Linked DNA regions of Oryctolagus cuniculus. The protein of the gene in region 1 binds, or shares a complex with, the protein of each later gene. Links are inferred from orthologs where the notes say so. Each region holds a gene or a part of one and is shown in the gene's direction. Other genes may lie near its edges.

What was found. The genes of interacting proteins can lie anywhere in the genome.
Region 2: DRC7 (region 1) and DRC12 share a complex: the UniProt entries of both Homo sapiens proteins name them as parts of the nexin-dynein regulatory complex. The link is inferred for Oryctolagus cuniculus from reciprocal best matches to the Homo sapiens genes DRC7 and DRC12.
Region 3: DRC7 (region 1) and EFCAB2 share a complex: the UniProt entries of both Homo sapiens proteins name them as parts of the nexin-dynein regulatory complex. The link is inferred for Oryctolagus cuniculus from reciprocal best matches to the Homo sapiens genes DRC7 and DRC8.

The regions. Positions count from the first base shown.
Region 1 is NC_091449.1:41,191,828-41,195,476, forward strand, and holds part of DRC7 (dynein regulatory complex subunit 7), read left to right. Parts: intron 1-2,643; coding exon 2,644-2,772; intron 2,773-3,649. UniProt on the Homo sapiens protein: Component of the nexin-dynein regulatory complex (N-DRC) a key regulator of ciliary/flagellar motility which maintains the alignment and integrity of the distal axoneme and regulates microtubule sliding in motile axonemes.
Region 2 is NC_091432.1:111,117,011-111,120,759, forward strand, and holds the end of DRC12 (dynein regulatory complex protein 12), read left to right. Parts: intron 1-18; coding exon 19-138; intron 139-613; coding exon 614-706; intron 707-3,027; coding exon 3,028-3,158; intron 3,159-3,375; coding exon 3,376-3,504; 3' UTR 3,505-3,572; downstream 3,573-3,749. UniProt on the Homo sapiens protein: Component of the nexin-dynein regulatory complex (N-DRC), a key regulator of ciliary/flagellar motility which maintains the alignment and integrity of the distal axoneme and regulates microtubule sliding in motile axonemes.
Region 3 is NC_091444.1:65,095,849-65,098,826, forward strand, and holds the end of EFCAB2 (dynein regulatory complex protein 8), read left to right. Parts: intron 1-1,903; coding exon 1,904-2,019; 3' UTR 2,020-2,335; downstream 2,336-2,978. UniProt on the Homo sapiens protein: Component of the nexin-dynein regulatory complex (N-DRC), a key regulator of ciliary/flagellar motility which maintains the alignment and integrity of the distal axoneme and regulates microtubule sliding in motile axonemes.

The DNA.
Region 1 (3,649 bases):
CAGGACACACACCTGCGCCCATATGAGATGCCAGTGCCACAGACGGAGGCTTAGCCCACTACGCCACAGCACTGGCCACCGTCATGATCGTTTAATCATTCTGAAATGACCATCTTTAGCTCTAATAATATTTCTGTGCTGATATCTATTTTTTCTGATATTAATATAGCCACCCTAGATTTATTTTTGCATGTGTGTGTTATTGTCCTTTTAATCCACTGCCTCACTTCTGAGCCAACTCCCTGCAATGTGCTTGGGAAGGGAGCAGAGCATGGCCCAAGTGCTTGGGCCCCTGCCACCCATGTGGGAGACCAAGATGGCATTCTAGGTTCTTGGCTTCGGCCTGGCTCAGCCCTGGACATCTGGGAAGTGTGCAATAGAGAGCCAAAAGGCCAGGATCTCTGGGAAACCGGCCTGGCCAGAAACAGAGGACCCGGGAAAATGAGGAGCGTGGGGACATGGCACCTGCCTGTCCAAGTTCAAGTCCAGCTGGCTTGATTTCTCCTCCTCCTCAGATTGGAGGCGCCTTGCCATGGGCAAGACCCCGGGGGTCTGGCTCACCAGGCACCTGGCCCCCATCACAGTGGCTGGGACGCCATGGAGAAGCCCCTTCTGCTCTGGGACTGCATTCCCCTGTGCAAGGGCCTGGGGCGCCCCCTGTGGGAGACGGCGGGAGCAGACACGGGACTGCTCTGGTGCAGTCCGTGTAGAAGTATGAAGTTGGGAGAAAGATGAACTTCTGCCTTCAGCAAAGAAAGGCACCCCCTACGCCCCTGGCCCCTCCTTGTGCCTGGAGCCTAGGTGCTCTCGTCCCTCAGCGACCTCACAGGGTGTGGGAAAGAACACTCAGCAGGGGTGTCGGAGAGTTGCTGGCTCTCCACTGGATGTGAGCCATTTTACAGGTGAGCAAACTGAGGCCTGAGGAAGTGAAATGACTGCTTCCACGCAACAGGGTCAGGGCAGAGCCAAGAGTGCCCTGCCCAGAGCCCAGGCTTGTGACTGCTAGGGTCCCGTGTCCCAGGAGACCGTGGCCTCCTTCCACGCCAGTGCCTGGCAAAGGAGATGAGTGACAGGGGTCCCGGATGCCGGATGCTGCGGGACGAAGGCGGGAGTGAGATCGGAAGGGCAGGACCGCGTCAGCAAGTGAGGGCATGGAGGACGGCATCAGGACGCTGGCTGGCACCCTTCGTGCCACCTGAGCCTCGGAATGGCTCCTTTCTTCCTTCAAAGCCACTGGAAGTAGCTTTAGGGGGAGGGGAGGCTGGTGAGGTATCCATAGAGACTGCCCGGTGTGGACACACCCTGGGCCATAGGCTGCAGCCCGTCCAGTCGGTTCTGCTTTATGTTAAGGACTTTTATTTACTTAAAAGGCAGGGAAACAGGAGACCATGATCTTCCCTCTGCTGGTTCACTCCCCAGATGCCCAGGCGGCGGGGGCTGGGGACTCCATCCAGGTCTCCCGTGTGGGTAGCAGAGACCCTTGTACGTGAGCCATCACCTGCTGCCTCCCAGGGTGCACATTATCAGGACGCTGGCATCTGAAGCAGAGCCAGGTCTCAAGCTCAGTGGCTGTGATAAGATACAAGCATCTGGGGCTGGGACTATGGCATAGTGGGTTAAAGCCGCTGCCTGCAGTGCCAGCATCCCATGTGGGCGCTGGTTCTAGTCCTGGCTGCTCCTCTTTAGATTCAGCTCTCGGCTGTAGCCTGGGAAAGCAGTAGAAGATGGCCCAAGTCCTTGGGCCCCTGCACCCACATGGGAGACCTGGAGGAAGCTCCTGGCTTTGGATTGGCACAGCTCCAGCCATTGCAGCCCTCTGGGGACTGAACCAGCAGATGGAAGACCTCTCTGTCTCTGTCTCTACCTCTCTTTCAAATAAAATAAAAAATGCAAACATCCCAAGCGACATCCTACTCTCTGCACCAGCACCTGCCCCGCTTATGCTTCTGCCACAGAGATAGAGTTTTAAGTGAAAGGAGCAAAGGACAATGTCTCACCACTAGTCGCTACATAAAAGTGACCACTGAAAGCAATGCAGACATCTGAATGACCAGGATCCTCTCCACTAAGCTTCAGCCGCCCCAAGCCCTGTTTCAGCTGTGAGGGGTCTCGCCCCCATCCCCCACCCCTCCCCCTCCGAGAGCAGGATTAGGGTACACCCCGGTGGGCAGTTGTCCTTTACCTTGGATCTCCCTGGCAGCACAATTTGGTGTGGAGGGGGAGGGGCCTGCCCTGGGGGCAGCTGGGAACTGCTGAGGCTCCTGTGGCCCTGGCCTCAGGTGGGCTGGGTGAGGGGAAGGTGGAGGATACCCGAGCCATGCCAGGGAGGAGAGATCCCCACCTGGCCAGCTTCCATATGTGCCCCCTCTGGGGCTCCCTGCTTCCTGCACGAGCTGGGGCTGGGTGAGCGCGTGTGCAGGCCTGGCCCAGCCGGAGAGTTCCCTGGGCTCTCCCAGGGAGCAGTTGGGGTCTTCTTCACCGGGGACTGGTTATGGGAGGGGGTTCCTGCCCCCTCCCCGCTGAGAGGAGGAGGATGCTGACGGTCTGCCTCCCTGAGCCCAGGCCCACGGCCCTGCCTCCCCACGGAGCGAGTGGGGGTGTGAGCGGCTGAGGGGCGCACTCAGAACTCCCCCACCCTTTCAGGACCTGGTCTTTGACCTGGGAGACCCTGTGAGGTGGGAATACATGGTCTTGGGCACCGACAAGCCCCACCTGTCCTTGACCGAGGATGATGACTCCGGAGTGAACGATGATGATGACGTGGAAAACCTGGTAAGTCCCCGTGGCCCACAGGTGGGGAGCGCATGGGAGGCCTTGCCCCTGTCCCACTCCCAGCAGCCTGATGGCCACCTTACTAGCAGGTGCGTCTATGCAGAGGTAGACCAGTAGGCCGGTTATAGGCTCCTCTAAGCAGATAGACAAACTGAGGCCTACACAGGCCCAGTGACCAGCCCGGGACCTCCCACCCATTCAGGGGTGGCCCTGCTCCTTTGGGAATGGAGACATAAAAGCCCTCTGCACAAGCCCCAGGGCCGGCCGTTCCTCGGTGCCCACCCATTGCCACGCCTTTCCTGTCTGTCCTAGGAGGTCTTCCAAAGGTCGTTGACCAGAACCTTCCCCGGGTCAGCAGGGGCCTTCCTGGCAGGTCCGCGTGAGGGCCTGTGGGTGGTGGTCACAGGCCTTAGTTACAGCTCTGAGGTCTTGGGCAGCCTCAGGGTTGTTTCCAGTATGTAAAATGGGGGAGGGGCTCCTGGTCGAGCTCACGGCGGCAATGACAGGTCTAGGCCTGCTCTCAGGACATCCCACCAGTGGAGTGGTTCAACAGCAGACAGTCATGATCTCACCGTTCTGCAAGCCAGAGGTCAAGGTGTTGGTAGGACCAGGGCCCGAGCCCGCCTTCTCCCTGGGCCCTCACCCAGCCTCCCCTCTGAGTCCCCGTCCCAACCCCCGCTGCTTATAAGGACAGCAGTCAAGCTGGGTTAGGGCTGCTCCACAACCACTTTAGCTTCAGTGCCTCTTTAAAGACATCGTTCCCATCCCGAGGTCCCGGACTGAGCCCAGGCCGCGCGCACAGGGCTCTCCCTGAGTACCAGGCTCTGGTGCAGGTGCCCAATCTGAATTAGCCCGTTTAAATCCCCTAGCCACCCAG
Region 2 (3,749 bases), on another chromosome or scaffold:
CTCCGGGACCGCTCGCAGCTCTACAGGGGGAAGGGGCCCGTCGAGCCAAGGCTTCTGAAGAAAGGCTGAAGCAGAGGTTGCAAGAGTTGGAGGCTGAACTGGAAGAGGCCCGCAGCGAGGGGAAGGCCGTATATGCAGGTGCGTGGTCGGTTCAGCAGCTGGGCAGGACACAAGGGCCTGGGAGAAGATAAGAGGGGCTTCTGACTGCCGGGCCCGGTCTCAGCCTTCCCTGCGTAGCACAAAGCAGGCAACTCCTGGTGGATGCAAGGAGGCCTCTGGGCTCGCAGGCAGGGACCTTCCAGGGTGCCTGGGGCCAGTGTCAGTGCCAGCTGCACTGGGGGACACAGGACGCAGTCCCAGCCACTGTTTCATTCACTCAGCAGCAGTGAGCGGGCAGATGGGCTGGGGCCCTGATCCTAAGCCGGAGTGGGGAGGCGGCCTGGTGTCCTTCCCTTTCCCCAGGTGTCCAGGGTCTCCCAGCATCCCAGGATCACAGGAACTGAGCAGTTCCTTGGGCTCCTGTCTCCTGGACCACACAGTTCCTTCCCGCCCCCAACTCCTTGCCTTTCTCCATCCCTCCTCCATCCCTGGCCGTCCACCGTCCTCCCTCCAGAGATGAGTCGCCGGTGCAGGGCCCTGCAGGAGCAGATGGAGAGACGCAGCAAGCAGCTGGAGGAGGAAGTGAGGGGTCTCCGCAAGCAGCTGGGTAGGTGCCCCGCCCTGCCCTGGGCCTTTCCTCTCCAAGGGAGGCTGACAAGATCCAGGTTCAGTGCGGGGGCAAACTTAGGTCTTCTCCTAGAAGGCTGCCATCGTCTTCCCCTCCCCCAACCTTGGCTCCCGCAGTGAGGATCAGGCAGAGGTGAGGACAGCATGCAGCTCACTAGGCTAATCCTCCGCCTGGGGCGCTGGCACCCCGGGTTCTAGTCCCGGTTGCACCTTTTCCAGTCCAGCTCCCTGCTGCGGCCCAGGAAGGCAGTGGAAGATGGCCCAGGTCCTTGGGCCATGCACCCACATGGGAGACCAGGAGGAAGTACCCTGCTCCTGGCTTCGGATCCGCGCAGCGCACAGGCCGTAGCAGCCTTTTCGGGGGTGAACCAACGGGAGGAAGACCTTTCTCTCTGTCTCTCTCTCTCTGTCACTGTCTAACTCTGCCTGTCAAAAAATAACAATAAAAATAAAAATAAAAATAAAAAAAGACCCTTTAGGGCAAAGTAAGGAAGAGGCACACCTCGCCCTATCCCCCCTTGCCTGGAATCTCCAGACCCAGCTGTCACCTCACTCCCTGCCACTGCCACGTCTCTCCAGGGCATATCAGAGCACATCAAAATACTCATGGAAAAATGGAATTACAGGATAAGCTTAGGTGCAAGAAACATTGAAAATCTATGCATTTTTTAAAAGATTTATTTATTTATTTGAAAGGCAGAGTTACAGAGAGAGAAAGAGAAACAGAGACACAGAGATCTTCCATCTGCTGGTTCACTCCCCAAATGGCTGCAATGGCCTGTGCTGGGCCAGGCCAAAACCAGGAGCCTAGAATTTCATCTGGTCTCCCACATGGGTGGCAGGGGCCCAAGTACACGGGCCATCTTCCAAAACCTTCCCAGACACATTAGCAGGAAGTTGGACCAAAGGTGGAAGAACCAGGACTTGAGCCAATGCTCCCATGTGGGATGTGGGTATTACAAGTGGTGCCTTAATCCACAGCACCATAATGCTGGCCATTATTTCCAGTCATATTTCCTTCTAACTTTCTGAAATATTCTTCATCTCCCTTCTCAGGTTAGCTAATTTTTACAATGAAACTAAGGGAAAATGTTAGGCTTCTTAACTTCTATATCTCTAAGGCCTACCACCTGGTAGATCCTTTTTCCTAAATAAGTGGATAAACTCTCTATATAAGCAAAAATATAAAAGCCAGGAAGCCTTTGCTTCTCTTCCCTCTTGCTTCTTGGCCCAGTCCTGGCTGTTGCAGCCATTGGGGAAGTGAACCAGAGGATGGAAGACCTCTTTCTCTTTCTCTTTCTCTTTCTCTCTTTCTCTTTCTCTTTCTCTCTTTCTCTTTCTCTCTTCTCTTCTCTTCTCTTCTCTTCTCTTCTCTTCTCTTCTCTTCTCTTCTCTCTCTTCTCTTCCTTCTCTCTCTCTCTCAATATAAAAAATTATTTATTTGAAAGACAGAAAGGAGAGTTCTTCCATCCACTGGTTCACTTCCCAAATGGCTACAACAGCCAGGACTGGGACTGGCTGAAGCCAGGAGCCAGGAACTCCATCCAAGTTTTCCAAGGGCCCAAGCACCTGGGCCATCTTCTTCTGCCTTCCCAGGTGCGTTAGCGGGGAGCTGGATCAGAAGTGGGACAGCTGGGACTCAAACTGGCACCCTGGTGTGGGACGCCAGTGTCACAGTGGTGGCTTAACCCACCACACCACAACTCTGGCCCCTCATTTGCCCTTTAAGATGAAGAAACTGGGGTAGGTGTTTGGTGTAGCAATTAAGATGCTGACTGGGTGGCCCACATGTCATTTTGAAGCTCCAAGGTTTGAGTCACAGCTCCACTCCTGCTACTGTGCACCCCAGGAGGCAGCAGCTGATGGCTCAAGTAGTTGGATTCCTGCCACTCACGTCAGACACATGGATTAAGTTCCTGACTTCAGTTGCAAGCATTTGGGGAGTGAACCAGCAGAGAGGAGCCATGGTGTGTGTGTGTGTGTGTGTGTGTGTGTGTGTGTGTGTGTGTGTGCAAGTGCCCACAGATGCCTCTCAAATAAAGAAGAAACTGGGGTTTAGGGAGACATGCGTGAGCTTACACGAACAGTGACAACCAGACTTAGCCCCCAGCTCCTCTCCAAGCTCACTACTCATAAACCTCAATGGACCTTCAGCTCTTTGCAGGGACTATGAGGAGGTCGCTGACCTGGGCGGAGTCTGAAATGAACACACTCAGAGCCTCCTTTTCAGGTGCCTTTGGAGACTGTGCAAGCACCAAATTCACCGTCCTGTCCTCTCCCATCCTCTGCTCTGCTCCCCAGAGACTTGCCAGAGGGAGGCTGTGGCTGCACAGGGGGAGGCAGCGAGGGCCCTCGGAGAGCGGGACCACACCTTGGCTCAGCTTCGGGCCCACGTGGCCAGCATGGAAGCCAAGTACGAGGACATCTTACACGTGAGCACCCCGCCACCTCCACGAGCCCCACAGGGTGATGACTGACAACCCGGGGGGAAGAGAAGAAAGGGACTCCAAGGGACCCCTGCTCTGTCCCTAGCACAGGCAGAGGGAGTTCCACGGTGCCCACTCCCTTAGACCAGGAAGAATGCTGGCAGGGAGAGCTCACAAGGCAGCCGCCCTCTCTTCCTGGGGACTGGGAGCTTGGTATCCGCAGGGCAGCCTGGACCGGCTCCTGGCCAAGCTGAGGGCCACCCAGCCCCAGTGGGACGAGGCCGCACTGCGACTCCACGCCAGACACAAGGAGCAGCTGCGCCAGCTTGGACTCAACCCCCTGGATCTTTGAAGCTGCCAGCCTCTGGGCTCTGGGACCCTCTGAGACCCCAGAAATAAAATATCCTGAAGGAGAACTCAGCTGAACCGTGGGCTGTGGCCTTTTGTCATAAAGGAGTGGCTTCCGTGGGGACACCTCTGTTCTGAGCATCCCGTCCCTTGATCCACAAGGCTGAGTGATGAGAGAGAAAACCGGCAAAGTCCCACCCCTTCTCCTACAGAAACTGGAGCCCAGCCCCCGAGCCTGGGACCTCCAGC
Region 3 (2,978 bases), on another chromosome or scaffold:
TGAACTTGACTGCTGGTGTTTGGCCCCTAGTTCCACTGCTTACTCGCAGGGGCAGTCTGCCTTCTTCCTTTGTATGCTACTGATATCATCACTTGTAAATGGGAATAATAACAGTTCTTACCTCTCATAAGGTAATTGGGAGATTAATTTAGTTAATGTATTTGTGAGCACTTAGATCAGTGCCTGGTGTACAGCAGTATTCAATAAATGTTACTATTATTCTTTTTTTTCTTAAAGATTTATTTATTTATTTGAAAAGCAGTTAGGGAAAGAGAGACAGACAGAGATCTTCCGTCCATTGGTTCATTCCCCCAAATGGCTGCAACAGCCAGCTACAGCTGTGCCAGACGTATGCCAGGAGCCAGGAGCTTCTTCCAGGTCTCCCACGTGGGTGCAGGGGCCCAAGGACTTGGGCCATCTGCTGCTGCTTTCCCAGGTGCATTAGCAGGGGCTGAATCAGAAGTGGAGCAGCCAGGATTCAAACCAGGGCCCATACAGGATGTCAGTGCTGCAGGCCTCTGGTTAACCTGCTGTGTTAAATGCTGGGCCCATTCTTGTTCTTTTTTTTTTTTTTCTTTTTAAGTCTATTTTATTTGAGAAGCAGAGAGAGACAAAAGAGGAGAGCTCCCATCTGCTGCTTCACTCCCCAAATGCTGGCATTGGCCAAAGTCAGAAGCTGGGAACTAAATCCAGGTCTCCCACATAGGTGGTAGGAACTCAGTTACTTTAGCTGTCACCACTGCCTCCCAGGGTCCGCACTAGCAGGAAGCTGGAGTCAGGATCTGGGAATCAAACCTGAGTACTTCCATATGGGAGGCAGGTGTCTGAACTCCTTGGCTGAACACCCACTTCTCTGTTATTTGTGTTCTTGTAAGGAAATACATCAGAGTTCATTTGGCAGTAGATTTAGCATTTAACAATCGAGTATTCAGAATTTGTCACTTTAATATTTTGGACGTAGGCATGGTCTCGTTTGACAATATTATGTTCATCGTCATCAAAATTCCTATTTGAGTAACTTCTCTATTAACTGAACACCAACCTAGAAACCATTGTAATAGTAGGTGATTTAAGTGCATGAAGTAGGGAAGCCTCAGGCTTTGATAACTCACCTGTTTGGATAAGAAACTTTACGGATAAGATGCTTAGGATACCTGTATTTTTGTTTAATGTCAGGACAAAGTGCTGTGTTAAATGGTCTGCAGCCTTTCCAACCTTCCTGAGTTTGCGTCTTTAAGATGGCCCTCATCTGTTATCTGCATCCACCTAACACCTACAGATTTTCTATCCATCTCTTGGGTTTATTTAAAACCAACACTGGAGCAAAGTAGGTTTTTAAATGGTGGATGAAGGGCGTCTCTCACTGGCTTGCCTGGCTCCGCTCAGTTAGCCAGATCTGGCTTAGAGACATTCAGAGATAAAATCATTACAGTTTCTGGTCTCTGTTGTTTCCTCTTCGGCAATTTTGCGCAATAAACATCTAATCATCTCTCCATACTCTTTCTAAATAATGATTGGGTGCCCCATAAGACTCAAACTTTGGCTTAATCCTTTGGCAATTTGAACAGTTTTGAAATTTAAATAAGTAAACAAGCAAACCCGGTTCCTGGTATCTTTCTGTCCTCCTGCTGTCTGGCCCAAGTGCCAGCTTCCTAGGTTGCCTGATCTGTGATATCTGCAGGGTTATCTGTGAAACTGCAGGTCCCAGATCCGCCACAGTGTGCCAGGGCCTGCTTCCGGGACCTCTGGGCTTCATGATGCGCTGGTCCATAGCTTCCAGGAGAGCGCCTAGTGACACACTGGGGCCTTGTGGGGCTGCTAGGCGGTTAAGCTGGCCGGTGGAGAGAAAAGAAAAAAAATCAGGTCGCTGTCAGTGATGGATTCTCCTTCTTGTCCTTCCCAGGTGAACCTTTTTCACAAGAGGAAATGGAAGAAATGTTGGCAGCTACGATTGATCCAGAAACAAATGCAATTCATTACAAGGACTATATAACAACCATGATGATAGATGACAGTTAAATGTTCTGAAGACTTCACTTCTAATTGAAAGGACAATTTAAAAAATTGTTTGTCCTTGTTAATTTCACATTTTAGCCAGTAATTCCTATAGCTGATTAAATATCTTATGATAGAACTATTTCAAGATTTTTAAAAAAGATTGTCATAATAATTTAAAACATCTTTTTGCTGTGCCTTGCCTATGGAATGATCAATTGTGAATTATTTAAAAACTATTCTGAAAACATCAAAATAGATTCTTATTTTTGACAATAAAATCCATGTTATCTTCAAATTAATTAAACTGACAAAATAAAGAATGTCTGTAATGACCTAAGGTTTGGCATATAAAGATCTGGAGAAAGGATGGGTGACCAAAAATTCAAAATGAGTAGCAAATGATGCAGGCTTCCTTTTTAAACAATTAACACTTGAACAATCAATGTGGAAGGAGAATTACTGAAATTATTATTAATTTCTTATGAGTGTCAATTACTCAATCTCATTTGAGATTACAATCCCCTATTTTATAAAATTTAATTTGCGGATTACCATAGTCTGGATCTTAGCTTTAAGGTTGACTATCTCCAAAAGGCCCATATGTAAAAGGTTTGGTCCCCAAAGTCATAAGTTAATGGTATTAGGAGGGTGCAGACTTGTACCAGTTATGGTGTTTAGGAGGTAGGCCTAATGGGAGATCCTTAGATCGCTGGAGGTGTGTCTCACAAGGTAGTTCTTGCTAGTAGGTTGGCCATAAAAGCCTGAGTTGGGCCCAGCCTCTCTCTCTCTCTGCTTGCTGCCTCACCGTGTGATCCTAGCTCTGTCCTTGCCATCCATCACCCTCATCAGAACCAAGCCAATGGAGCTCCCAGAGCTTGGACTGTGAACCTCCACAACTGTGAGCTAAGGAAATCTCTAGTCTTTATTGAGTTGTCTCAGGGGTTTAGTTGTAGTGAAAAGCTGACCAACACACTAGTCCA